Notamacropus eugenii: one gene and its partners. Each later gene encodes a partner of the first gene's protein in a complex. Links are inferred from orthologs where the notes say so. Each region holds a gene or a part of one and is shown in the gene's direction. Other genes may lie near its edges. The genes, in order: ECSIT, TMEM126B, TMEM186 and NDUFAF1.

What was found.
Region 2: ECSIT (region 1) and TMEM126B share a complex: the UniProt entries of both Homo sapiens proteins name them as parts of the mitochondrial complex. The link is inferred for Notamacropus eugenii from reciprocal best matches to the Homo sapiens genes ECSIT and TMEM126B.
Region 3: ECSIT (region 1) and TMEM186 share a complex: the UniProt entries of both Homo sapiens proteins name them as parts of the mitochondrial complex. The link is inferred for Notamacropus eugenii from reciprocal best matches to the Homo sapiens genes ECSIT and TMEM186.
Region 4: ECSIT (region 1) and NDUFAF1 share a complex: the UniProt entries of both Homo sapiens proteins name them as parts of the mitochondrial complex. The link is inferred for Notamacropus eugenii from reciprocal best matches to the Homo sapiens genes ECSIT and NDUFAF1.

Annotation. Positions count from the first base shown.
Region 1 is NC_092875.1:78,405,670-78,412,590, forward strand, and holds the start of ECSIT (evolutionarily conserved signaling intermediate in Toll pathway, mitochondrial), read left to right. Parts: upstream 1-3,907; 5' UTR 3,908-4,145; intron 4,146-5,782; 5' UTR 5,783-5,813; coding exon 5,814-5,945; intron 5,946-6,921.
Region 2 is NC_092876.1:115,835,790-115,842,792, reverse strand, and holds the start of TMEM126B (complex I assembly factor TMEM126B, mitochondrial), read left to right. Parts: upstream 1-3,996; 5' UTR 3,997-4,256; intron 4,257-7,003. UniProt on the Homo sapiens protein: As part of the MCIA complex, involved in the assembly of the mitochondrial complex I. Participates in constructing the membrane arm of complex I.
Region 3 is NC_092872.1:87,410,445-87,417,607, reverse strand, and holds TMEM186 (transmembrane protein 186), read left to right. Parts: upstream 1-4,151; 5' UTR 4,152-4,174; coding exon 4,175-4,306; intron 4,307-5,834; coding exon 5,835-6,461; 3' UTR 6,462-7,152; downstream 7,153-7,163. Other genes in the region: PMM2 (phosphomannomutase 2), read right to left, coding at 3,938-4,003. UniProt on the Homo sapiens protein: As part of the MCIA complex, required for efficient assembly of the mitochondrial complex I.
Region 4 is NC_092878.1:27,496,349-27,503,741, reverse strand, and holds the start of NDUFAF1 (complex I intermediate-associated protein 30, mitochondrial), read left to right. Parts: upstream 1-4,379; 5' UTR 4,380-4,749; intron 4,750-6,088; 5' UTR 6,089-6,164; coding exon 6,165-6,749; intron 6,750-7,393. UniProt on the Homo sapiens protein: As part of the MCIA complex, involved in the assembly of the mitochondrial complex I.

The DNA of each region.
Region 1 (6,921 bases):
ACGAGGGGCTGTGGGAACTTAGGATGGAGGTATGTTAGAAAATGTTGGGAGACAACTCCCTGCTTCAGAGAGAGGGGTGCTGGTGGTTGGAAGACTGCGGGTACCAGTGGTGCATTTTTAGGTGTGTAGATTGAAGGAGCCAGGACAACCTGAGCCGATGGGCATTGGGTTGGGAAGACAGATGAAGTAAGTGGTGGGGTGTTGGGAGGAGGGGAGGCCGCATAGGTTCCGGGAACAGATGACTCACTGCTGTGGGCGGGATGGACCAGAAGGGTCATCCAGCACGTCAGGATTCAAAAGCTGGGACTGCAGAAGCATTACCCGGGAGCCCTGCCCTGCCGCCATACCAGCCAATCCAAATCGGAGGACACACCTCTCACCATCTGGAGCAGGGATACCCTTGACTCTCCAGGGAGCTCCCAGTGCTGACCTTGGCGTCCCCCTCTCAGGAATTCTGGCTCCCTGCCGGGTACCCATGACTACTCTTCTTGAAGATGCTGGCCCAACTGGAATAGCCTCAGGGTCCCAAGAGGCTTCTGGGGCAGACATTGCCAGCTGCCTGGCCCTTCCTATCCTTTTTTAGCCTGGGGCATCTGGAGTATTGGGGAAGCTGAGCCTTGGATCTGAGAGGCTGAAAGGATTTGAGGCCCTCAAAGGTTGTGGGATGAGGAGGAAAGTGAAGTGGAAAGAGTATTAGGCTAGGAGCGTAAGAACTCCCCCCACTGTTGACTCCCATCCTGGTTCAAGCCTCACCTTTGCCACTGAATTTCAGTTTCCAGAATTAATCATTCAACAGACATTTATTGAATGCTTACTATGTGCCAGGCACTGTGCTGGCGATACAAAGACAAAAGTGAATCAATGCCTGCCTGCAAAGAGCTTACATTCTAACAGGGGATTCAACATGTGTGTAGGTACACAGCTATGAACATATGTATACATGCATATACATACATACATACATACATATAGTATACAATATACCTAAGGTAATTTGTGAAAGGAAGGCACTAAGAATTGGGGGGCCCAGGAAAAGCTTCATGTAGATGATGGTTGAATCTTGAAGGAAACTAGGAATTCCAAGACATAAAAGTGAAAAGGGAGAGCACTCTAGGCATGAGTAAAACAGCCAGTACAAAGATATGGAGATGGGAGATGGAGGTTATGTGGGAGGAACATCAAGTAGGCCAATATGGTCTCAGAGAGAGAGCGGAGTAAAGTAATGTAAAATAAGACTGGAAAGGCTGGAAGGGACCTGTTTACAATATTTAGATTATTGTGTTTCTCTTTTCTCTGCCAAGAAGAACCTTTGCACCCAATACAGAAGAACAAATATAGCTAGTAAGGCGCTCATACCCCCAAATAAGCCAAAAGAGAGTCCTTAATTCCCCTTGGTGAATTCAAGTTACCTGATGATCCAGATGAACTACATGTCTGGGTCCTGAAAGAACTGTCACATGTGATGGCTGAGCCTCTATTAGTGATTTCTGAAATGTAACACTTCCTCTGGGACCACTTGCCTAACTCCCACTTGAATTGACAAGTCTGGTCCTTCAGAAGGTAGCTGCTAGTGCTACGCCTCAAAAGGTTCTGGGGGAATCAGAAGCCCTAGGGTTTCTAACACAGTTGATCCTGAGCCCCCACCAGTGTGCTTCATGGTTATTTTTAGCCAGTATCCTCAATTACATTTAGCAAGAATATTTACTAAAAAGGTATAGTAAAAACAGTTGGTAAAATATTTTCCTCAGATGGACTAATAGGGCACACCCTCCCTTTGCACACACAAGGTCCTTGGGAAAGTGAGCTCAAACTTAAGAGCACAGTGGTGGTGAGGCACCTGGTTACTAGAAGTTCTTTCTCCCTTCATGGATCCATCATGAAATTCATAGCAGGGGATGGTCTGAGTGATGGTTGAGTTTACCAACACGACTGGCTTTTTGCAGGGCTCTTCTGGAAAGGTCAAGCTGCTACTAGGCTGAGCCAGTTTGCTGTTGGGTAAGCCTCTGACACTTGAGGTTACTTTTCTGCTGGGTCTGGCCACTTCTCCATTGTTGTGGGTACTCTCTCCTCCAGTTCTGCTCAGGTGCCAAGGGAAGGAAAAGCATCAGCTTTCAGTCTACAGGTGTACCAGAACATGTATTGCTTATACCATCTCTGCCTAGGTATCTCCACCTCAAGCCTAAAAGTAGGTAACCTTGTGACTCCTGTACTTAACTGTGTATCCAGCTCTTTTGTACTGTGCTGGTGAAACTTTTGATAGGACCTCAAACTCTCCCTGATCCTGGTAGCCTGAAAGTGGGAAAAAGAGAGAGACACTTTTCAATTTTGTTCTCTTTTCTACTTTGTTCTATTATCTACTTTGTTCTTTGTTCTCAAGGGCTTTTCTACCCCCTTATTGGCTTGCAGTAGGTCTATGAAATTTGGAAGTAGTTTGCTATTTTGTATGTAGGTCTAGAGGCACATTTGATCATTTCAGGCAAGCCTATACTGTTTCCTGTGCGGCATCATTTGCCTTTCATCAAATGGCCAAAGCCCCAGGATCCTTTCGAAATGATAAAAAAGGCTTGTCCACACACATTTTCATAAAGGTTTAGGAAAATTCCTTTATACTTAGTGTACTCCATTCGGTGATTAATTCATCGTTTGGGGGGCCTCAAAAGTCCAAAACTAAACTCATCATTTTTCACCTTAAACTCTCCCTTGCTCCTAACTTCCCTATGACTGTTGAAGACAGCACCATCTTCCGATCCTTGACTCTCTGTGTTCAAGCAGTATTTAAAGGATGGATGCAGAGGAGAGATTGGACTAGTGTGGTTTATCCTCAGAGGACAGAACCAGAAGCAAGTTACAAAGAAGATAATTTAGACTAGATGTCAGGAAAACTTTCTAATGATTAAGATTATATAAAAGAGTAATGGGTACCACAGAGGTGGTGTTTTCCTTATCCCTGGCAGTCTTCAAGCAGAGAATGGATGACCACTAGAAAGGTATGTAAGGATTACATAAATTGGATTAGATGGTCATTGACTTCTCTTCCAACTCTCAGATTCTGAAATTTTGTGAAATACCCAAAATGATCCCAGAGGTAACATAAAACCACTGGAGTTTATTGAATGGTGTGTGTGTGTCTGTGTGTGTGTGTGTGTGTGGATTGAAGGGAATCCAGGATTGAAGTAGAGAAATAAAAAGGGAAAGTTATTGTGATCCTCCAGGGTAGAGGAGATGGGAGCCTGAACTAGGAGGAAGGAGACAGCATATATAAAAGAAGATGTAGGGATGGAAAGGACAACCGAAAAATAGGGATAATGTCTGTAGCACTTGCTCATAAGGTCGTTGTTTGGGTGGGGAAAAAAACGACCTCTTTGTCATCAACATCTGTGATTACTGCTGTCTCCTATCCCTAAAAAAAGAGGGCGCACAACTGGAGTCTAAGGTGACTTGGGGTTCTACATCCTACCAAACATATCAACTCCTTTGGACGCCTCGGGGATTCAGCTGTAAACTGGCCGAGGGCGGGGCTCGGAGAGCCCCGGAGAAATGCGGAAACCCTCCATCCAGTGTTTCTCCCCGGATCTGTCTGTCCATCAGGGCTGCACCGGGGCTGGGTCCCTATCAGTCCTGGCAGCCACGGACCGGAAAGACGCTGGGCTCATGCTCACTTATCACCACGCAGCCGCCTCAATTTCTACCCATTTCGCAGATGAGCAAACTGAGGCCTAATGGGCCTGACGCGAGGAGCGCAGAAGCCAAGAGATGCGCACGCGGTGGAAGCCCCTCCAAGTGCAGCCTGCGCCGGAAACGGCCTTCTTGCTTAGACCTGGGTAGGCGGACCTGGGGCGGGGTTTTCAAAAATGGTGGGCGGGACTATCTAAATGACGTCTTCCCATTGGCTCCTGATCTTGAAAGATTTTTTTTTTTTTTTTTTTTTTTCCTCTGAGAAATCCGGTCGCTCTCTGCCGGGCGCCCCGTGACCTGTGACCCGGAAGCTCTGAAGACCAACATGGCTGCTCCCAGCCATACCGTCTAGTAGAGCCGGAGACTGCTGAGAAGCGCTGTGGCTGGGAATCGCCGTCGCGTAGCTCGAGAACCGGCCCGGACGCCGGCCTCCGGATCCCGGCCCGGCCTCCGAGCGCGCTTTGCCACAGGTCTGCGGACATGGTGACCTTTTCCCCTTGGATCTCGTTTGGGAAAGGGAGGAGTGGGGCGGCGTGTGTTTGTGTGTGTAAGTGTGCGAAGGAAAAGTGCCCACGCGTGAGTATACGTGCGTATTGTGTCGTGTGCATGTGGATGTGGATGTGTGGCCCTCCAAAGCCCCGTCCCAAACCCAGGCCCCAGGCTAGGCAGGAAGCGCGCGGTGCGAGTGGGGGGAGGGGCGGGGGAGGCTGAGCCCGTGAACCCCGTGCCCCAGCCGGCGCAGGCTCGAAGCTGTCCCCCAGCCGCTCTGTGCTAGCCCCGGCGTTGTGGAGGTGTGTCGGGCGGGCATCAAGCGTGTATGAAGTGCTTGTTGTGTGCTAGGCCCTGCACGCCCACGGGGACGCCGAGAAAAGCAAAAACAGCCTCTGCTGTTATGGAGCATGGCGGGGGCGCCAACCCGAAGCTCATTACTGAGTACATGGGAGGGAATCTCAGAGGGGAAAGACTTTGTGTAGAAGAGGGCTTTCAGCTGAAGCTTGAAGGAAGCCAGGGAAATTAAGAGGCTGGAGTGAGGAAAAACAGCATTCCAGGTTTGGGAGGCAGCCAGAATACCCTCATTGAGAAACAGTAAGGAGTACAAAGTAGTTGGGTCAGAGAGGTGGTTGTTGTGTTTGTCCTTTGTTCTGGAAGAGGACCGTGACATCAAGATGACATGACTTGCAGTTGACTTTGTGTGCAAGGTCACCAGCCTCACTTTCTTCTCCTGAGACATCCGGGTCTGATGTTCATCAGGATGACTGGAGATGGCCCAGGATGCAATGGGAGACCCTGGCCCTTTTAGGCTAAGGTCTTATCACATTCTCACTTTGAGTGAGATATACCCATTCAATGAATAGGCTTCAAGTAGTTACTCCAGGGATGGCCTTTCTAATAACAAACAAAACAAAACAAAAACAAAAAGAGAGTGGGGGAAGACCCTTAGGGTTCCTGGGTAAAAGAGAAACAGTTACTATTTAATATTTACATTCACTCAGAGAGGTAGACTAGAAAGGCAGGAAGGCACCAACCTATGAAGAATTTTGAATATTTCATCCTGGAGGTAATAGGAAGCTACTGAAATCTGTTGAGGATGTAGATGTGACCAGGTCCAGCCTTCTCTTTAAAAAGATCACTTTGACCATCAAACAGAGGATGGATTGGGTTTGTGAAAGACTTGAATTAGGAACAAACACCAGTTAGGAAGTTATTGTAATAGTCTAGGCTTAAGACTGTAAGAACCTGAACTAATGTAATGCTGTGTAATTGGGGAGAAAGGGATGTACGGGAGAGAGGCTGTGAAGTATAGAAGTGATAAGATTTGGCAATGGATTGGATATGTTGGAGGAGAGTGGGATCAAGGAGTACTCTAAAGCTGGGAGCCTAGGTTAGTGAGAGGATGGACACACCCTGGGCATTGTAATAGTATCAAATATTGGAAGAGAAGAGCATTTGAGGAGGGAAAGAGGATAATTCTGAGGGGTGTGTTTGTGTATGCATGCACGCACACGCACGCATGTGCACACGCACACATGTGCATGTGCACGTGTACAGGGAGGTTTCCAAGGCCATTCTCTGGGTCAGCTAACCACATATCCTTTCCTTGGATTAGGTAGGCATCTGGTTGCCATTAATTCCTGACCATGGCCAGCAACAGGATGAACTGCGTACGGAGAGCTGTCCTAGCCTGGGATCACTCCGTGGGTCGCCCCTTCCTTTCCAGAGCTGCTCCAGGGCACAGCCCTTGGCAGCTGGAAGGAAGCTGCCTTTTACAGGTAGAAGGGATGGGGTAGGGAGAGAGATCACCTACTTGCCTAACTTTGGATAAGCCATTTAAGCTCTCTTGGCCTTCTCTCAGAGGTCCTCTACCTCCACATCATTGTTTTACAGTGTATAAAACCATCACCCCTTCCAGTTTTTCATCCTGTTTCCCTCTTTTCAGGCCTGAGTAGGTTGGGGGATAGGAGGAGGCACCAGGTTCCCTCTGGTTGTGCCCCATTCACTTGCCTTCTTTAGTTCCATCTAAAACTGACTCTTTAGTATAAATCTTCACGTGGCCGTTCAATTTTGGTGTCATTCCTGGCTAGCATTTCCTTCAGCAAGTTCTGTTGAATGTTTAACAGTTTCTCAGGCCATCCGTACTCAGAGAGACTGAGAAAAATTAGGAATGGAAATCTGAAAATATAAATGGAAAAGAACACAAATGTCCTCAGCAAACATAAAAAAAACTTTGTGTTGAAGATAGAAAATCCTTTTCCTAATACAGATGTTGGCTATCGTGGGAAAGAAGGAGGAGCCCGTAGATGTACTGGGAATCCTTGGTTAGATTTGGCAGTGGTTTGGATATGTTATATGAGAGAAAGTAGAGTCAATGATAATGCTTCAGTTGGGAACTTAAGTTAGTGGGAAGATGGAAGTTCCCTTGACAATACTATTGAAAGATTTTGGAGCCTCAGGATTACAAATTGGGGAGAGGAAGGAGAAGGCTTGAGTTTTTTCAGAGCCAGCTAGGCTCTTTTGTAGATAACAAACCCCAGGACCAAGTATTCAAGTAAGGAACTGAAGTCCAGAGAGGTTGAGAGCTAAGAATTCAAGGTTATATCTATAAATAACAACCAGAATGCAAATCTCATTTTTAAACTCCAGTTCCAGTTATCTTTCACCTGTAGTTTACTGCCTCTCCTTTAGGAAAGGAATGAGGTCCCCCCTAGGAAACCCCACCCGATGGAGGTAGGATAGGCAAGCTACCTG
Region 2 (7,003 bases), on another chromosome or scaffold:
TGGGTGGAAGTTACAGGGAAGGAGATTTAGGTTCAATAACAAGGAAGAACTATATAACAATTAGATTTTTCCAAGAAGGAATATAGGTTGGCAGTGTTTAAACACAAACTACAGGAATACATTTCCAGGATACTGTAAAGAAAGTTCTAGCCTGAGTGTGAGATTAGCTTAGATGACCTCTAAGATCCCTTTGGAATACAAGATCCAATGATTCAATGATGCAATGAAGTGTTTGGATAGTAGTCTTTAATGTTGAAAAGTATGTCAATATCATGAACACTTAAAAACACATGAACATAATAAATGTCTCCAAATAAGCCATTTCAGAATGTGAATTACATGGTCCATCATGCCTTAAGCAATAATCAAATACATATTTGATGCAATATGTTAATACAAACTTTGATTCCCTAAAAAACATTGATGCATTTTAGAATCAACCATTTGTTTCAAGAAAAATAAAAACTAAAACATTCAACTTTCTTAGGATGTATGAACAACTTTCATATATGTTTATTAGCTATCTATAAACCTGTTCTTAAGAAGAAAATAACTTTACACAAACTCAAAACCTGAGTAATTTTTAAACATTAAACTCATTTTTTTTTTAGCTAACCTGTTTTTCCTAGACCATTGTACCTACTTCAACTTGCCACTCTTCTCTTCTTGGCTCCTCATTAACATGCAAGTAATATCTATTATTCTTTGTACAGTCGCTAACTTTTTAAGAACAGGGAAATAAGGACACAAATATAATAGATGGGGGAAAGACAAAGGAGTAAGAAGAGTAAAATTGAAAGTAGGACTCAAAAATCCAAAAGGATAATTAATTATAATACCAAAGCCTGTCTGGTTTCCAGGCAGATTCGTTCTTTAGGTTAGATTTATGGTGGATATGGTATGAGGTTCCCATGGGTCACCTAAAATCTACTGGTTATCCTAAGAAATCTGAACCACTTTCAGGGCATCTCCCAATCTAAAACCTTGATAAGAAAGGGTCAAATCGGGGGCTCTCTTGGGAGCATACATTGCCTTTCAGGTGACTATTTTTAAAAGGTTCTAGAACTGATCTAGCTCTCCCCTAGTCCTTCGACTTACGCAGAATACAGAGCCAGGTTGAACCTTTGGAGCAATTCTCTTGGACACATAATCAATTTGGGCCCAGAATTAAACCATAATATTACAGGTGTCAAAATACAGCAAGTCAAATGACTTGCCCATATTGTTGTATTTGTATGCATGTTGACCAGCATGAATGATGCTTTTAGCCGTTGGATGTTCATTTATTGTTTGATTCAGAATTTCTGAAAACATACTTATAACAGACCAGATCATAGCAGAGTAATAATAACCAGCATTTACATAACAAAGGACTTTATAAATAGTCTCATTTGATCCTCACAACAACCCTGGGAGGTAGGTGCCATTATTATCCATATTTTACAGATAAGGAAACTGAGACAGACCAGAGGTTAAGTGGCTTTCCCAAGGTCATACAACTAGAAAACGTCTGAGGCTGTATTTGAACTCAGGTCTTCCCAACTCCAGGTTCAGTGCTCTGTCCACTGCATCAACCCCAAATCTCCTCCCAGGCAGTCAGTCAACAAGCATTTACTAGGCGAAGTTTACTGTGTGCCAAGCATTGTGCTCCACAGTGAAGTAGAACACCAAATCTCACCCAATCCAACACGTATTCAGGATCAGACTAGAATTTAGGGGATGAAAGATGAGAAAATTCCTACTTAGGAACTTCCTAACGCATGGAACTGATGAGTCCAACTTAAAACTTCATCACTTGCCAATGATATGCTCAGTCACATTTTCTAATTGAAAATTTATACTGGAGTGAACCCAAATGTAAAAGTTGTCTGTTTTTGCTTAGAAAATAAAAGATATACTGCAAATCTACCATTTTATTCTGTACCAACACAAATATACAACTTTACTGTTGTAGTTTACAAGCTATTTAGTTTAATTATATTACATTCATGAGTAATACCAAAGACATTGCTAGAAAAAGTGAAATTTTAGCATTGAATCTATTTATTACAAATAATGCCTGCAGATTGTCTAAGGGATGAAATCACAACTAACTACTTATTTTAGCACAACTTCATTTTGGTAACAGCATTGTAGAGTGTGACACTAACCATGTGTTACCATAATAAATAGAGAGCTGCCCCAACTGAAGCAAGAGTTTCCTTCTCAAATGCAAAACAATTTAAATGACAAGTACCAGAACCAAACAAAACAGAAGATACAAATATTAGATAGGAAGCTTCATAGCCCACCTTTCTTCTTGACTGGCATTCTTGGATCTCTCTGCAGTCACTGGATTCAAGGACTTGTTTAGGTATCAACTTTATCCAACTGGGCTGAAGCCAAGAGCTAGGTGGCTGTGGCAAAGTACTTCGGCCGCTCAGTCTTGAAATCCAAGCTCAGTCTTCATTTTCACCAAGATATGAAGTAATGTTGAATATTTTTTCCACAATTAAACTTTTAACACCTCCCACAGAATTTAGAAGGGAAAAAAAAAGACTGGAGTTTCACAAAATTGTCTTTCAATTCTTATAAAATATTTCTTAATCTATAAAAAAACTGAGAACATTATTGTTGGTATAGAAAACATTATTAGAATTCCTCTTCAGGCAGCAAATTTGGTGTAAGTTTAATGACTCAAGGCACAACCCAAATTTAAACAACTCTCACTACTCTACAAAACCAACTTCAAAGCCATCCAGATTTAATGATAAAAGATGCCCAGTTCTACGGAGGAGAACTTTTCAGGAAAAAAAAAAGAAAAACTTTTTTTAAAAAGCAAAGTTCTTTGCCTCTGATTTCTGAAAAGGTTGGGTGAGTTTGAGATGTGCCCCCGGGACCGAAAGGCCGATTTCTATTCAGGGAATAAGAAGTTTCCGATCTCGCTCCCTCAGATCAGACAGCATCCAGGTCCAGTCCCTTTCCTTTTTCCCCTTCTCTGCTGCCCGAGCTACCCAGGCTTGTTCTCTAATGAATGCCACTCTGATCCTCCCATGTATTAAGCGAGGGAGCAGGAAAGCGCCGCTCTGGCATGGAGACGTTAAAGTGGCAGCGCTCTCAGTGGGCACTGGGTGCAGTGTGAGTTGGCGGCGCAGCCTTCCTCACCCTGGAGCCATTCACATCATGCCATCTCCTCTCATCCAAGCAGCTGCCTGGGGTGAGGAAAAACACAAGACCCCCTTTCTCCAAAGGAAACACCACCACCACCTCCACCACCCGGACCTTCCCCGGGCTGCCTCGGAGATCTCGGCAGCGCCAGCCCGGCACTCTGCCCGCTCCGTGCCCCCAGCCCTACCCGCACCGTAGCCCCTGGCACAAAGGGGGAGAGACCTTTTGGGGGGCCGTTTGGCCGCCACACACACACACCGTGCCCCAGCCCCGGTGCCCACACCCCTGCCTTGTCTGAGAGGAGCAAGGAGAGGCGGCAGGAGCAGCAGTTATGTAACTCGCGTTAGGGGCTTCTGGAAGATGGAAGGAGGTGCGGGCTCCGCTGGGGCTACGTTGGCTAGGATGCCTGGGGCGGGGGGGTGCACGACTACGCCCCGGGGGTCCCCCACTGGGGCGCGGGGGGATGGGAGAGCCTCCCGGACGGGCTGGGGTCTGTCATCGCCCCCCACCAAGCCACTTCCTTTGTGGGGCAGGGGGGAGCAGGCAGGGGCTCGGCTGACATAGGAGGGCTCGAGATGGGGTTGCATCCGGGTTGGGGAGACGCGAGACCCCGGTCCGCTCGGGTCCACGACAGCCAAAGGGGGGACCCAGGCCTGAAGGCAGGTGGGGGCTGAGGGAGGAGGGGCGGGCTCGTCCTGAAAAAGGGAGGGGGAGAAGAGAGCGGAGTGGTTGCCCGGCCAACGCCAGGTGGGCGGGAGCGACCCGCCCGGCTTCTCCCACAGACCAATGAACGGCCCCGGTTCCGGGGCAGCGGAGACCAATGGGAATCGGAAGAGAGGGCGCGGCATTTGACCGTAGTGGGCGGGCCTCCCTCCCCCTCGTGCTGGGGCTGGGGTAAGAGGCGGGGCCTGGGGCCAGAGCTCGGGAGGGACGGGGGCCACTGTGGGTCATGTGAGCGCGCAAGATGGCGGCGCCCAGGTGTGAGCGGCGGGACTCTCGGTGAGCGGGCTGCGCGTGGAGACGTAGCAGAGGTGTCGGCGTGGGCAAGCCGCCGCAGTCGTGGGGGTCCGACCGTAAGCCTGGCCCAGCCCTCCGAGCTGGTCTGTGGGGTAGGCCGTGCGAACGCGTCCTTATCTCTAGTGGGGGAAGTCGAGGCTCCGAGGGGGCTTGTTTCCTCTCAGGCCACCCCGGGACCGATGCAGGGCACGTGACAGGCCCCTCGGGCTTAGAACCGTGTTTGATAAGCTGCTCTCCTAGAAGGAAAATTCTGCATCCCTCATCAGAGCATCCTAAATGTGGAGTGGAAGGGTCCTAGAGGTCATGGAGCCCACTTTCCTTACTTTACAGATGGGGACACTGAGGCCCAGAGAAATAGTGACGTATCTAGGGGCAAACCTCCCGGAAGTGCCTTTGGGCAGGATTCGAACTTAGCTCCCTGCCTGCAAGCCCCGGGCCCTCCGTCCACATCCACGTAGCAGACAACTGGGTGACCATCTGTCAGGGAAGCGATGGAGGAGACTGTATTTTAGAAAGCAGGAGTCAGCTGCAGACATCTCCTCACTGGGGCTCTGGGCGAGTTATTTAGCCCGTTACCTCAGTTTACTCATCTGTAAAAAAAAAAAAAAAGGGGGGGGGGATAATGGTTGTTATGAGGACCCAGAGTTGTTATGAGGACCAGATGAGATAATAATTGTAAAGTGCTTAGCAGGAGCCGGCACACAGAATGCCTGATATAAATGTTTGTAGTAGTTGTGATAGAAGTTGGGAAAACTAAATTGAATTTTTTTTTACAAAGGCAAATTTGACTAGGTGACTGCAGAAGTTCCCTCTAACGGTGAGACTGTGATTCTCTTGTGTAACTGTTAAATTCGGGCAAGTCTGGTATAATAGAAAGTCTCCTGGTTTTATAGTCAGAAGACCCAGGTTGAAATGCTGATCTTGTATTCAGCTGGCAAGCCCCTTTTCTGAGCTTCAGTTTCATCCACTGTTGCTGCTTGGTTCTGGAAGAGGACCGTGACGTCAAGAGGTGATGCCGTGATATGCAAGTGAATTGGATTTAAGTGAGGGAGAGCTGTGCAAAGTCACCAGCCTCGCTTTCTTCTCTAGAACCATCTCAGTCCAGGAGCCAGATGTAGGTCAGGACAGCTGGAGGTGGCCCTGGATGCAGTGGGGGCCTTTTCCAGCCAAGGTCTTTAACTGGTCTCAGTTTGACTGAGGCAATGTCCATTCAGTGATTAAGGCTTAATAAAAAATTTGGCAAAGAATAACTACTTTAAAAAAAACAGATCTGGGAGGGGAAGACCCTTAGGGTTTCCATCCAAAATAAAAATAATTGCTACTTACATTCATTCTGAGTCAGTCAGGGCTGTGACCAAGTAGGGCTTGGCCTGGGACCTATTGTTGGCCAGTCTATGAGAGCCTAAGTGATTTGGGGTTAAGACTGGTCTTCTAGAAGAAAAAAAAAATTCAGAGATTAAAATTTACATTCCCTTTGGGCAGAGCACCTGCACGTAAGGGTGTGATACTCTGTGTGAACTAGAGAGAGAGAAAAAGAAGGAAGAAAAGATCCTCTGTAAAATGAGGACAATAAATCATCTTATTAAGGCACAAAGCACTTTGAGCTGCATGTTATACATTATAGCCAGTGGTGCCCCTGTGACAGCCAACTCCCCCCACCCCAAAAAAGTAAGTTCCCACACGTTTTTAGTGCTAGTGCCTTCCCTCTGTTTATTATTCCGTTTATCCTGTACAAAGTTGGTACATAGTTGTTGTATCTTCCCATTAGATTGTGAGCTGTCTCTCTATTAGACTGTGAGGTCTTCAAAGGCAGGAACTGTCTGTTGTATTTTTCTGTATCTCTAGTGCTTAGAACGGTGCCTGAAACTTAGTAAATGTTTATTGACTGGCTTTCAGTAATTCCAGGTAGGAAGAGATAAAGGCCTGTACCAGAGGGGTGACTATCAGAGGAGAGAGGTGAGATGTTAAAGGTAGGATCGACAGGACGTGGCAACAAATTAGATGTGGAACGATAATAGAAAGTGTGAAATCAAGGATGACATATAGGTTTAGAGCCTGGATGACTGGGAGCATGGTGGTGCCCTTGACAATAAAAGGAAAGTTCTGAAGAGGGCGGGGCTTGGGGAGTGTTCAGGACACGTTGAGTTTTAGGACTTTAAGATATCCAGAAGATGTGAGACTGAAGGTCAGGAGAAAGTTTAAGACTGGATAAATAGATCTGAAAATCATCTGCATAGAAATGATCATTAAATCCATGGGATTTGATGAGATACCCCAAGCAAAATAGTATAGAGAAAGAAGAGAAAAGGGCCCAAGATAGAGCCTTGAAGTATTCTCATGGTTAGTGGGCATGATCTGAATAAAGATCCAGCAAAGGAGCTGGAGAAGGAGCAGTTGGACAGGTAGGAGGAAAACCAGGAGACAAGTGTCACGAAAACCCAGAAGGAAAAGATTATCATGGAGAAGAAGGTGATGAGAGGCTGCAAAGAGGTTAAGAAAGATGAGGATTAAGAAGAGGTCATTAGGGAGGGAAGGGGAGAAAATTATGATTATTATCGCTTATGGAAGTGATTGTTGAAAATTGAAAACAAATAAATTTGGAGGGAAAAAATTTTTTTAAATAAATAAAAAAACAATGGCATTCAGCACTTGACATGGCAGCCAGGAATGTTGCTTTGATCTTAGGTTAAACTAATAATAATTGTCATCATTTATAGGGTGCTTTAAAGTTTACAAAACATTTTTCAAATATGATCTCATCTGATCCTCACAACCAAAAAAATATAAATAAAAGGCCTTTAGATTGGGTAAGTAAGAGGTTACTAGTAATTTTAAAGCC
Region 3 (7,163 bases), on another chromosome or scaffold:
TACTGAAAAATAAAGTTAATTCTCCCTAACTCATGGGGTTGTTGTAAGGGGGAAAACAGTTCTATTGCTAATAATTACTATAATTCATATCATCAACCATAAGTGTTTCTTTCAATGGTATATCCTGCTTCAATTTCAAGTTTTCAAGCTCCCTCTCCCACACTATCCTCCAGGAAGCCAATTCCAAGTAACTGGAAATTAAGGTGCAAAGTCTTTTCTTCTGACCTTAACCACTCTAACATGCAAATTTCACCCTCCTCCCCATCAAAAAAAGTGACCTGTGCTTGTGTATGAGGAAAATATTTAAGGTACAAAAGAGGTAGTCTACTCAAGTACCTATAACTTACATTTCCTTTGTATTTCAGGCCTCTCCACATTAGTATAATACAGTATTATTATTCTGCAGGTGCAACAGAAGGGGCTCATTAAATGTTCTGCTAATGTAAAAGTATCAATGGCTTATGAGACCCAGGGTCCTGTTTCAGACAGATCTGCATTAAATGAATGACTGGAGAAGTTACCTAGTCATTCGGTGCTTTAGTTTCCTTACCCAAATAATGAGAATAATACCTGTCCTAGAAAACTGAATGAAGGAGAGTAAATGAATGGCAGGTGTAGAGTTCAAGTGAGCACAGACTTATGTCCAGTCCATTGCAGTCCCTGGTTCACAATGTACCATGTATCTCTTGAGGAAATTTTGGAGCTCTGGATAATGCTGTCCTATGTAGATATTTACTAATCCAATTACTCCCTGACTGCCCTGCCCTCAATTTTCAATACTTCACTGAGCCATGATTCTTACTACTCCTCTGACCAATGGAGACTTCAAGGAACCCTCTCTAACTCATAAAGAGTTGTTTGGTTGAAAAGTTAATTTATCCGTCTTTGACATGGGCCGAGAGAAGAGCAAATTCTTAAAGCACCTGATGGGTAACTTTCCTCTCCACTCCAACTTCTGCCCTTATATTTGGGGGCTTCAGTTTACATACTGATGAAGTCTCAAAAGCTCCTGATCTCATTATCATCCACCTTCCCAATCTGTAACTTTCAGATTGCACTCTCTGACCACAACCTCCTATGTGTCTTCCTTCCCCCTTCTAAACTTATACTCTATCCTCAGTGTAACCTCTAATCATTTCACCCCTTCTTATGGGGTTCAGACTCTGGAACCTCCCTGAACTCCCTGGAATTTTCCCACTTAATCTGGCCTTTCATATTCAAATCTGTTGTCCTGGGCCTAGCCTGGGCCTTCCATTGTCTGTCACCTCTGGATTGCCCCACTTGCTTCCCACCCAAGCCCTCCAAAGCCTGATATCTCCTGATTGCCTTCAGCTGTTTTTAACCCTTGACTAGTCACCCCAGTCCCACTGAGATGCTCCTAGGACTTCTCCTCAAGACCCTCTCTAAACCCCCTCCTCCCATCACCCTAGATAGACCAACAGACCACTTCCAGATCCCTCCTACAGTCTTTTTTTGTATTTAAGTTCCATCTTGCCTCCATGAAGGCACTCAGATTCAATCCAGTTCAGACTCTGTCTATCCGGCCTACTTGTGAATACAAGAGTTACAAATGCTCAGGCTCCTTAAAAGTCAACCAATATGGCGAATATTTAATAAACTTTGTTTTTCTTTGGCTTGTGTCGAATTCATTCGAGCAGGCCCTGGCATGTTGGTCCTTTGGGGTTCCCAGCACCCCTCAGACCTCAACACTTCCTGCTCTCCCAGGTCATCAATCTTGTCTGGTCTTACTTTTCTCCCTTCAAAAGTCTTATTTTATCAGTTCATCTTTACACTGTCCTCTAACCTGGAATCTCTTTATTATTGCTGCTCAATCCTTTCTAAACCCCAGCCGTGGATTACTTCCTCCATTCCTGTCCAAGTACTACAAGGAAGTTACAACCTGGATGACTGGGTCTACCACAATCTGATGTTGGCTGATCTAAACTGGGATCTCTCAGTTATATACCAATTCTTTTACTCTTCCTTATCTGACAGGTTTTCAACACTCCTCACATGGTTTCCATTCCCATATCCAATCAGTTGTCAATGCTTGTTTCTACTTTTAAGCCTCCTGTTCCCACCTTCTCTCAACTTAAACCGTAACAACTTAGGTCTTCATCATCTGTCCCCAGGATTATTGCAATAACTTCCTAGTTGGTTCCACTGCATTTAGACTTTCTGCTACGTCCTTCACACAGGTGCCAAACTGTAAGTCTAAAGCACATGCCTGACCATATCACCATCTCTATTCAAGAAACTTCAAGGGCTCTCTAGGGAAAAAAAACCTCTCTAGCACTTAGGGATTTTCCCAATCTGGTTCCGTGAACAAGACATTCTGTCTCCCAACTCTGCCACTGCACGGACTCCCCTGTGTGTACAATGCTCTCTTTCCTTATTTCTGCCTCTTGGAAGCCTAGCTCGTTTCAAGTCTCTACTCAAGTGACACTTTCCACAAGAGATATTTTCTGATTTTCCTAATTAGTGCTCCACATTCTGCACCCTGTCTTCCACTAAGTTATTCTGTATATGTTTTATATTCATCGGTACATGAATGTACATGAATGTACGCGTACATGCTGTTCCCCAAATAAAATGCATGAACCTTGACGGCAGGGATCTTTACATCCCAAATGCCTTATCTATCTACCCACCTCACCCTCTATACTAACATGTACTTTCCAATAACAGTGACTTTGCTCAGTTCTATTCAGGAGTTTTTGCCTTGTTTGCTCAGACTCCATGCCTGGAAGAGATTCTCTTCACATACCAACTCCATTTCTTGAAGAACGTCAAGAGAACTTAGACATTCTCTAAGACACCTTTGCCGATTATCCCCCCAGTTGACAGTAATCTCGTTCTCAATTAAAAAAATTTTCTTTTGGTCTGGATTTCTCCTTTGCACTTAACTACATTCTTTCTTACAGCACACTTAGTTGTGCATGGTCTTATCTTGTGCTATTAAATTATAAATTATCTTGTCCTATTAAATTACTGCCACACATAATTGAGGAATTAGAATTCTTCATTACTGCGTGAAGTTAGTGCTTGATGGAGGCATTATTAGCTATGCAGGGGCAGCCAGGTGGTGCAGTGCAGGAGGCCCTGAGTTCAAATCTCACCTCAGACACTTGACACTCACTACCTGTGCGACCTTGGGCAAGTCACTTAACCCCAACTGCCTCATCCTGGGTCATCTCCAGTCACTGGATGAATCTCTGGTCACTGGATCCAGATGGCTCTGGAGGAGCAGTGAGGCTGGTGCCCTGCACAGCCCTCCCTCACTCAGAACAAGGTCAAGTGCGAGTCCTGTCATCCTTCCTCTGATGGTGGGGTCTTCTTGGGCACACGCACGTTAGCTAGGCAGACCTCTCTGCCTCAGCATCCCCATCTGTAAAGTGAGATAACCACTGCACCCACAGAACAGGGTGGCCTCGAGCCGCGACAGGAAACAGCGCACACCTGTAAAGCGCTCTCTAAGTGCCAGCCACCACCACCCTACCTCCCCAGGTCCGCAGCGGGCGCCTGGTCAGCGGCGGCACAATCACGCCCCCAGAGCCACCACCCAGACCGGGTCGGAGCCCTTCTCCAAAGGGAGAGCGAGGTGTGGAGGCCGCCCGTGCTACACACAGGCCACGGGGAGCCGAAGCCGTCTGGGATCCGGAGCCCGGGGCTAGGGGTTCGAATGCCGGCAATGCTGCCTATTAGCCAGGTGAGGTTGGGCCTCAGTGTCTTCGTCAGTAAAACGAGGTGACTGGTCGGTCCGGATCACGGGTGCTCCCAAGCGCTAGGACCCCACGGGTTACCGGCCCCTCCCGTTCCCTGCCCCGAGGCGCCGGGCCTCTTCCCCTCCCCCTTCTTCTCCCCCTCCGCCGCACACGGGGAAACAGAGGCTCCGAGAAGCAGGCGGCCGCAGGGGGCGGGCTCGGGCTCTGCTTGCCTGTCGTGGGGCGGTGAGGGTCCCGTCGACGTCGAAGAGGCAGAGGACAGACGCCGAAGCCGCCATCCCGACACCTCGGCTCACCAGCACGACGGGACGCGCTGGCGCTCCAAGCTTCCCGGATTTGCCTCACGAGCCGCGGGGCACGTCGGGAAGGTGAAAGATCAGAGGCTGCCAAGTCGCACCTCTAAACCTCTTCTAGAGCGCACGACGACCCGCGGAACTACAACTCCCAGAATGCAAAGCCCCCAATATATCCCATCCCTCCCTGAGCTACGACCCATAGAGGTCAGGACACGCACGCCGCGGAGCCAAGTAGTTCCGGAGGACGGAGCAGGTTCGCTTCCGGAAGCGGGCGGCGGTACCATGGTGAGCAGCTGGGTTTCCGAGTGTAGGCAAGTGGGAGAGATCCACTAGCGGGAGTCCGAACCTAATTACCCCATCTTCCGTAGGCGGGAAGAAACCCCTCCCCCCCCCTCGTCTGCGGGCAAGGGCAAAACCTCAGGCCTAAGGCCCCGTGTCACCTCGTGACGTCGTGAAGTCAGTTCAATGGAGTACCTTCCATAACCATTTATTAGGCCCCTACCATGGGCTGTTGTGCTGAGGCCTGAGACAGTTCCGGTCCTCCCAGAGCTCACCCAGCGTACCAGAAATGTATACAAAGTAGCCACGTACAGGACACGTAGGTCCTTAAAGAGGGCCGGGCTACGGGCCCCGTCCTCCGCTCGCCTTCCCGTTCGAGGTCTTTTATCCCAGTCTAGTCCCGAAGCCCCCGTGGTTCCTGGTGCTGCAGACCCGCCCTGAAGGCTGCAGCCCTCGGGCCCTCGGCGCCCCTTAACTGGGCTGTTCTTTGACCTACCCCACTACCCCTGCCCCTCGCGGCGCCCCAGATAAGCACTCTGCCCTCCCTTACCTGGGTTTGGGACGTTGCGGCCCAACAGGCCTTCTTGATGGAACTCTGCATGGACTGCAGGAAATTAATCATTAGATAATATCATTAGAGTGACGTCTTTGGGTAACAATGCCTAAAACGCTCTTCTTTCCTCACCTCTGCTTCTTTTAGACTCTTTCGCTTCCTTCAAGGGTCATGTCAGAAATCATCTAATAAGGGATTCCAGTAATCCCTTCCAGCCTACTTATTAATGCCTTCTGCATCAGATCAGTCTGAGAGTAATGGCTGTGCACGAGATTAGCCAATCCCCCCCTCCCAAAAAAATAGTCCCTGCCCTCAAGGAGCGCATGCTCTAATAGGAGAAAGAAAATGGAAACAACTGTGTATAAACGTTATACACAGGATAAATTGAAAATGGCAGAGGAAAGGCACTAGAATTAAGAAGAATTAGGAAAAGCTTCCTGTAGACTGGGGGGCGTGGACAGGTCAGATTTTAGCTGGGACTTAAAAATAGACAAGGAAGGAAGGAATTTCTAGTGTTTAGTTTGAGGACACCAGAGTCACTGGATCACAGAGTATGGGGCCAAGTTTTGAAGTGATGAGGTTAGCCCTGGGCCTTAAGAAGATCACTGATACGTGAGTGGAGGATGAACTGGGGTGGGGAGAGACTTGAGGCAGGGAGACCAGCTAGCAGGCCGTAGGCTCAGTAGCATGTGGTAATCTACACCAGAGTGTTGACCTTGTCAGAGGAGATAACGGGGCAAATGTGAGCTGCGAGCAAGGTGGAATCAACAGAAATGGACAATTTACGGGTTATGGGAGGTGAGAGTGAGGAGTTGAGATTAACATCTGGGTTGTTAGCCTGGGAAATTCATATTATCTGTATTATTATTAATCTTTGTATCTACTTCCTTGTGTATATGCTATATACCCCTGAGGGCAAGGATTTGACTTCCCTGTTACTATGTATTGGGATTTGTGAGAGGTCATTCTTTTCCCTTCCAGGTTACCATCTTCAAAGCTGGTTTCCCAATTCGTTGGGTAGTGATGTTGCAGTCAAGGCCTTGGTTTTGCAAGATGCAAGTTCCCAGTTTGTATGTGGGCAGGCCTGTCTCCACATCCCCTGATAAACCATCAACCATAGAGGCTGAAAAATTCCAGATGATTTATCGCTTTCCTGGCATCAGATTCTGTGGATCACTGTCCCGGGTGAAGATTCTGCAGACAGGGATTACTATGGTAATATTGCCACTGTCCTGTTATTGGTACATGCAGGGCTTCATTCCCCTGGACTCCCTGTCTTTCACAGGAGGTGTTGCTAGCTTTGCCCTAGCCATGTTGTACTGGATTAGTCATTTCTTTCGTCGGCTTGTTGGAATCCTTTATGTGAACGAGGCTGGCACTGTGTTGCGCGTGGCACACCTGACCTTCTGGGGCCGGCGTCAAGACACATATTGTCCGGTGGCCGACATAATTCCTGTATCTGAGACCAGTGAACGTGCCTTTGATGTGTTCTTGAAGATCCAGCAGTACAATAGTGATCAGACCTTCTACTTAACATTGCGTTTTGGACACATCCTGGATAGGAAACGATTTGTGCAAGTGTTTGGGAAACTTGATGGAAAACACTGATGGTTTGGAAGAAAACCTGGACCTTAGGGGAATGTGCTTTCCCTGGAGCTTTGAATGGTAGCCTCAAGTATGCCTGTACTGGACCTGCACCAAGCATATCTCCCAGGGCTTAAACTAGAGAGGGAGGTTAAGAGACCAGAAAGTTGAGTGTCTGGTGGCACACAACAGGGATCTACTGTGTGCCAAGCACTTGTCTTTCAAAATCAAGAGATAAGTGAACTAGAAGCCGACCTAAGTTTCTGGTAGAACAAGTTGCTGAACTTTGAAAAGGGAGTACTCAGTGGAACTGTGAAACTGGTTTTAGTGGTGCAGTGGGAATTGATTTTTCCACTTTCATTCTTTTTCTGGAAAAGGCAGTTTGATTTTTGGAGAGAAAATTGTCAGGACACAGTGGTCCTTGTTCTGCTGTTGGCTGATTATAATGACCATAATGGCATGTTAATGACGTTCAGTTTATCAGAAAGAAAGTATTACTCTGCTAATATGTGGTAGATGCTTGAGGAAGACATGACTAATATAAAACGTGGCTATTTCATCCCCCTCAGAAAGGCAGCTTTGTGCACTCCTCAGAAACGGGATGGAAATCAGAGGTTTGCATAACATCACAATTGTGATTTTTTTTTAACCTTTCAGAGATTAAAATAATGTTACACTGTAAATATTGCAGTATAATAAAAGCTGTGAGAGTTGAGTTGTTTGTTC
Region 4 (7,393 bases), on another chromosome or scaffold:
ATATACTACTGAGTGGATATATATATGTATGTATAGATGTATATGTATACAAATGTATATATGTATGTGTGTGTGTGTGTGTGTGCATGTGTGTGTATGTATATGTATATGTATATGTTCTTCCCTCTTTTAACCAGTTCTGATGAGAGGTTCAAGCATTGCCTACCTCCCTCTCATTTTCCCTTCCCTTGTAAAAGCTCTTCCTTGAGCTTCTCTTTTTGTGAGAAAATTTTCTCCATTCTACCTCTCCATTCACTCTTCTCCTACTGCATCCCTCTTTTTCACCCACCCCTTCAGTTTTTGTAAGCTCATTCCCATGATCTTCCCAGCTTACGCCCATATGCTCTGTCTATGTAAATTCCTTTTAACCTCCCTAATAATGATAAAAATCTTAGGAGTAGTTCAGGTTTTTGAGGAAGTGGGGGTAGAGATGTCACTGAATTTTCAAGGACTATTGATGGGTGTCATCTCCACAAGGGTTGCTTCCTGGACTACGTCTGGATTGGAAGAAGAGAGAGTGGTTTGGGGAGTGTTGCTATTGGCGGGGATTTTGGGCAAAAGGGTCCTGGATTATACCCACCCAGGTCTGAGGGCAAGTGGTAGTTAAGGCAAAAATTATAATGACAGGAGGAGATACAGTCACCTAAAATGTTTGTTTTGCTAAACATAGGCATTTAGTACATATTTGTTAAATCGAAATGGAGGAATCCATTAAATTGAAGGATGAAGCCATGATGACAAGTGGTAGGAACTGATGAAGCTGAGCTCTTCTCTACATATATATATCAAAATGGATCAGACAAAATCCTGATGGGAAAATCCTGAAAAAGTTTCAGTGAGTCATCTGTCCAGCCCAGCTTTGCATAGAGAGACAGAAAGAGGTTTACAAACACTGATGTGCTGAGCTTAAGTAGGACAGGAACATACTAGTACAGAGCACTCCAATATGCAAGAGAAAGCTATGTACTGGGGAAGGGGAGATGTCAGACTCATACTGAGGCACTGTGATGGGGAAACTTACCCACTAGCAGATTTGTAGCCCACTACTAGTTGAGTTATTGTAATGGCAAATAAAGTAGGATCTTTTGCTGTTTTTTCTTTAGTATAATCAAGTACCTCTGATTGATTAAAGAAGATTTTCCCCACCCATTAATGGACCTGGGAAGATTTGTAGGAAGGCCCACACCTTTTGTAATGAGGCACTGGTTCTCAAGGGTTGTGATACCCTCTGCCTCTGAGAAAGGTATAAGTACTCTGAGGTGAGGTTTTACCTTGGGGCTTACTGATTGGAAGTGTTTTGTTTGGCCAGAGGAGACTCTGGGCAGCTGCTAAGGAGCTCCCCCACTTTGAAAATCCAGATGTTGGTGCTTCTCTCTCTGGTAACTATTTTGTATGGTCAGACAGTCTATTGATCTCTGAAGTATGTATTGCTTATGCCAGGGCAGCTGGAAGCACTGTCTGTTGATCTGTATTTCTCTGTATTTTCTCTGAAATTTAGAGTGCTGACTTTTTCCCCTGAACTAAATGAATGATAAATATGTGCTTGGTTAAAATGATTGTTAACCCCTGAAAATTGCTTTTCTTTTAGAAATGTAGATCTAAGAACCTGTGATAGCAGGCTGTCCTGTGTATGTTGGGGAACTTGCTTTCACAGTCGTAAATCTAGCCTGAATATGGAAGCGGTGTTTGAGTAGTGGGCCAAGAAAGAAGAAAGTTTATTCAGTTCAGAAGTAAGCAGCAGCAACCGAGGTACAGCTTAAACCAGGGATGGGAAACCTGCAGCCTTGAGGCCACATTTGTCCTATAAAACAAAAGAGATTTGTGCTGTGTTCTGTGAAGTTTGGAGTCAAAGGGCTGCACTTAAGGATCTAAAGGGCCACATGTGGCCTCAAGGCTACAGGTTCCCCTCCCCTGGTTTAGCCTCCAGGAACAGGGTAGAGACCCAATTCCAGCATCTAGCCCCGCCTGCAGAAGAATAACCAGGGCAGAAATCCCAGATCAAAAGAGAAACCTACAATTCTGCCACTGTGAACCACCACAATTGTCCAGCTGACTGATAAGGGCTGAATCCAGCAGCAGGCTGCTCTTGCTTGGACCCAAACCCAAGTCAGGAACTTGCAGAGCTCAGATCAGAGCAGCAGCAATCAGACTCTGCCCTGGATGGGAACACCACAGGAGCACTGAAAGCTTTCAGCTCTCCAGCCTGTCCCTGAGATCCTAGAATATGACAACCCTCAATAACCTAAGAAAGCAGGAATAAGAACAGCTTGGACCTTCCCTCCAGGAAGTAGGATGTAAGAATGGACAAACAAAAAACAGAACCACATCATAATGAACTATTATGAGGGCAGAGAAGTGCAAGGCACAAATGCAGAAAAAGAGAATGAATTAAAAACATATACAAGTAAAGTTTCAGAGAAAAACATAGACTGGACAAAAAATCAACTAGAATTCCTGGAAGAGATGAAGAAAGAATTAAAAAATGTTTTTATAGATGAAATCAAAGCACTTGCCTTCCACATCCAGAGAAAGAACTATGGAATTGGATCGCAGAATGAAGCAGACTCTTCTCTCTTGTGTTATGTTTTGTTTTGTTTGAGTTTTTCTCATGGTTTCTCCCATTCATTTTAATTTTTTTATGCAACATGACTAAAGTGAAAATATGTTTAATAAGAATGTATGTGTAGAACCCATATAAGATTGCACGCCATTGTGGGGAAGGAGGGGGAGAAAATCTAAGACTTATAGAAATGATTGTAGAAAGCTGTAAACAAATTTTAAAAATTAGTGACACCTGGAAAATAAACAAATAAATAATATGCATATAAACTCTTTAAAAAATTAGCTTCCTACCTACTTCCTGACAGACCAGGGGATGGACTCTGAGTATAGAATGAGACTTTTTTTGGACATGGTCAATGCAGGAATTTGCTTTTTTTGATTCTACTGCTTGTAACATCTCACTTTTCTTGCTTTCTGAATGTGGATGGAGGTTAGCTGGAAAGGAGAGAATGTGGACCTACAAATAAAACATAATTGGATTAGAAAAATCAATCAAAAAGAAAAAATAGCATCCTCCTTTAAGAAAAGAGTAAATTTGTATCACAGTTAACATAACAAAAACATTCTTTTAAAGGCTAAAAAAAAGTGCTTGAGGAAAAAATTGGAAAAGAAATGACAGCCATGTAAGAAAGAATTGGAAAGAGAATGAACAGCATGGTACAACAGTTTCCAAACTTTACCCAATCAACAAACTCCTTGAAAATTAAAATAGACCAAATAGGAGCTAATAACTTCATGAGGTAACAAAAAATATATTTAAAAAATATAAAAATACTGAAAAAAATAGCAAAAACAACTGACCTGGAAATCGGATTGAGGAGAAAAAAATTAAGAATCTGAACACAATGACCAGAAAAAAACAAGCCTAGATGTCTTATGTCAAGAAAAGAAAACTGTCCAGATCTCTTAAGAATCCAGCAGTCACCTCTTGAAACCTCCCAATGACAACTTCCAGGGATCTCATAGTCAGAATCCAGAGTTTCCAAATCAAAGGAAAAAAAAATACTGTAAGCAGCCAGAATAGAAAGAAGTCAAATACCAGGGAGCTACAGTCAGAATCACACACTAGCAGCCGCAACTAAAAGGAGAGAAAAGAACTTGAAATATAATATTCCAGGAAGCAAAGAATTGGGGCTTATTGCCCCAAAACTGTAAAACTTAATATAATGCTAAAAGGCAAAAAAATGGGAGGATGAGGAGGGTTTTGCCTGATTAGACAATAAAATATTTTTTAAAATGGAAATGGAATTGGTGGGGGAGAGCCCACCAATTGGATTTTTTGACTCAAAAAGATAAAATTGAATAAAATAAAACAAACAAAATTTGTTAAAAGATTGAAATTGAGAGAATCCAGTTTGGAAAAGGAAAGCCAAAGAAAACCTGAAGCACGTGGAGGACCACAGGGGTGGTCTAGGCTTTAACGGTCATGGGAATACTGTCTTTAACGATAATTAGCACTTGAACGTTTGCCAAAGTCTTTACAACGATTACCTCATTGGATCGTCTCAATATGCTCCCGAAGGCTGGTGCTCCTGTCATCCCCATTTTACAGATGAGAACACTGAGGCAGATACAGGTTTGCCCTGACTGGCTCTGCCAGCAGGGGGTCTCCTTCTGAACTTGAACTCAGGTCAGTCTGGCTTCGTGTCCAACGCTGTATCTCCTGCGCCACCTAGCGGTTCTAAAGTCTAGAGGGACGTCCTACGTAATCTTTCTAGCAGGGCATTAAAAAAAACCCCCAGCTCTGACGTGATTGGGCGTCATCCATCTCCAATAGGCGGAACTCTTTATGCTTGGGAGTGCGTGCGGCGGCGGACGCTAATCTGCGTAGGACGCAGGCGCGGGCGGAAGTCACTCTTTGAAGCCGGGAGAGGATCGAGAGGGAAGGTGAGCTGCGCCCGCAAAGCGAAGGAGAGTCATGTGAGGTGTCTTAGGGGGAACGCGATAGGTGTCGGACCACGGACTTCCGGCCTCGGAAGGAGGCTGATTCGCGAGAGTTAGGGGTCAGCCCCGCACCCCAGACTGGGCGGGGGAAGGGGATGTCAGGGCTCCCGGTCCCTTACGAGTAGCTAAGCTGCGGCCTGCCGGTCTCCACTGCCCGGAAGTGGCCTTCATTCTTCGGAGGATCCTAGATTTGTGGCTGGAAGGGACGCAGAAGTCTTCCAGCCCTACGTCCTCGTTTTACGGGTGAGCACGCCGAGGCCCCTGGGGTTGCGTGTTCAAGGTCACAGAGGTGGTAACTAGGGAATGACGGGGGCAGAATTCGAACCCAGGACTTTTATTAATGGAGTTTCAGATCCCCTATTTCCGACTTGATGGGGCAGGGGAGGTCAGAGCTGGTAGTGTTCCTGCTTGCTGGGGTTGCGGAGGGTTGTGTTATCCCAGGATCTCAGGGACAGTGCCCCCGGGGCGCTCCCCTGGTCAGAGCTCTGGGCTCGGGTCCGAGCCGGGGCAGCCCGCTGTCAGCCAGCTGGACGGTTGTGGGGGTTCCCAGGGGCAGAAGTGTAGACCTCCCTTTGGTTTCTGCCCTGGTTATTCTTCTGCAGGCAGGGCCAGACGCCGGGCCACACTGCTGCTGGTGCTGGCTTCTTAGAAAATCCATTTATTTTTAATTTACAGCATTCAGTTCCACGAGCCTCTGAGTTCCAGAATTTCTCCCCCTCCCTTTCTGCCCCCTCTCCAAGAGGGCATGCAGTCTAATGTAGGTTCTACGCAGACATTCATATTAAACATGAATTCGTGTTGCTGAGAAGAGCCGAGTCTGTCCAAGGTGGTCATCACCCAGTGTGGCTGTAACTGGGTGCAGTGTTCTCTGGTTCTGCCCCCCTCGCTCAGCATCAGTTCCTACAGGTTTTCCAGAAGTCCTCCCGCTCATCATTTCTGATAGCATAGTAGTATTCCATTACATTCATATACCACATCTTGTTCAGTCTTTCCCCAATGGATGGGCATTCCCCTCAATTTCCACTGAATTTCTTTCTTGATACCACCCTGGGCCTCCCTCCTGGGAAACAGCGCTACTGTGCACAGATACCCTTCATATTCTGTCCTGGATCGTCGCCCTGGGATTGGACCGTGTGCAGCTAGACTGCCAGCTGGCACCTGTCCCCATCTCTGTGCCCCATTGTGGGTCTGGGACTTCCTTTGGTGCTGGTATATGGCCTCCTGCTAGTGTCGTGCCAACCTCTCTGTCTGCCTGTGCAGACCTGGGCCTGGCAAAGGACTTGCTATGACGTTTTCTGAACTTCTCCATCAGGATTTGGTTCGGTACATTTTATAGATGTGTTTGGAGAGACTAACAGGAACCCACTTGCATTGTTTCCTTCTACCTAACCATCTTGGCTTCACCCCCAATTTTCTTTATGTTTTATGGAACTTAGTAAGATGATTGTAAGATTTCCAGTTAACCTTAGGCTCAGGAAGGTGTGGGTTACTGTGTTGCATTTTACAGAGTCTGGTTACATTTGAAAGACAGGATAAGTTTGTTGCTAATTTGGTAACTTCTGTATTTTTTCTCTTGTTACAGGTAGAGCTGGACTTGTAGCTGAAAATCTTTTCCCTGGTAAATTCTGGAGAATTTTATGATTTGAATTGCTTCTACCATGGCTTTACTTCAGAAGCTGCTAAATGGCATTCATTTTCCTAAATTATGCGGGATGCAAGATACTGCACGATGCTTTTTGTTGGGGCCTGGATTTTCTGATTCTCCCTCCCGACTGTACAGTAGTATTAAAAAAACAGAGGCTGCTTCAGATAGATCTTCCCCTGAGGAAAAGACTGAAGGCATATTGGAAAAACAAACTAAGGGTGAGGTTGGTTTAGACCTAATTTCACCTAAGGAAAAGGTTGAAATTATTTTTGACAAAGCAATTAGGGCTGAGATAAAAGACCATTTTAAACTTTTAGCAAAGGAGGTGGTAGACCGTTGGATAGGACCTGAAGGTCGCCCTTTGCATCAAGTTTTACTGGAAAATACTAGGGTAATGTGGCAGTTTCGCAGTGATGAAGATTTGAATAAGTGGCTGGTGACATCGGACAGGACAATAGGAGGCAGAAGCAAAGCCTTCCTGAAAATGGCCAGCAATAACCAAAGCGCACTCTTCTATGGGATTCTCAATACTGAAATTCCTCATGATGGGGAGACTCAACGAAGTGGATACTGTGCACTGACATCCAGGATTCCAAGGGTAGGTGAGATAGTCAAGCTCTTTGGCTCTCTGAAGTCCCCTTCTCTGCAGTCTCCATGGTAGCACATTGCTTTTATTTATGGTGAGGGAAATACACAGAGTATCCTGAGCAGAGGACTCTAATTTATACTGAGGGACACATTTACACCACTGAAATTAAAGGGAAAAAAGCATTCTTAAAGCTTAAAAGCATTCTTAGAAAGTCCCAAATTACTAGTTGACTAGCCCTTATTTTCTAGCTTGGTCATTTGGGCCAGAGTAGATCATTCCAGTATCAGAAAAGCCCAGTGTATCCAGGGTGGTTTTAGAAAAGGTGGATGAAGATTTGAGTATGTGTTTTGTGGGCCCCTGACTCAGCTTTAAAGTAGGATCCCTCCACCCGCCCACCTCTGGCTCTTCTTAGAGGGAGTCCAGATCTTCAGGATCTTCTGAGGAATTATCAGACTGGGAATTGGTTAGGGCTGTCCTGCACCAGACTCCCACACTTGGTTTGGGTTGCACTTGGATAATTCTTAGCAGATCGGGAGACACACTGGCAGGAACTTACTTGCTTCAGTTTGTGTTGTATCATATCGCTACTCTGAAGTTTGAGCTTGGGGTCATCCTGTACTCTTCCTTCTTATTGACTTTCCTATTTCCAGATA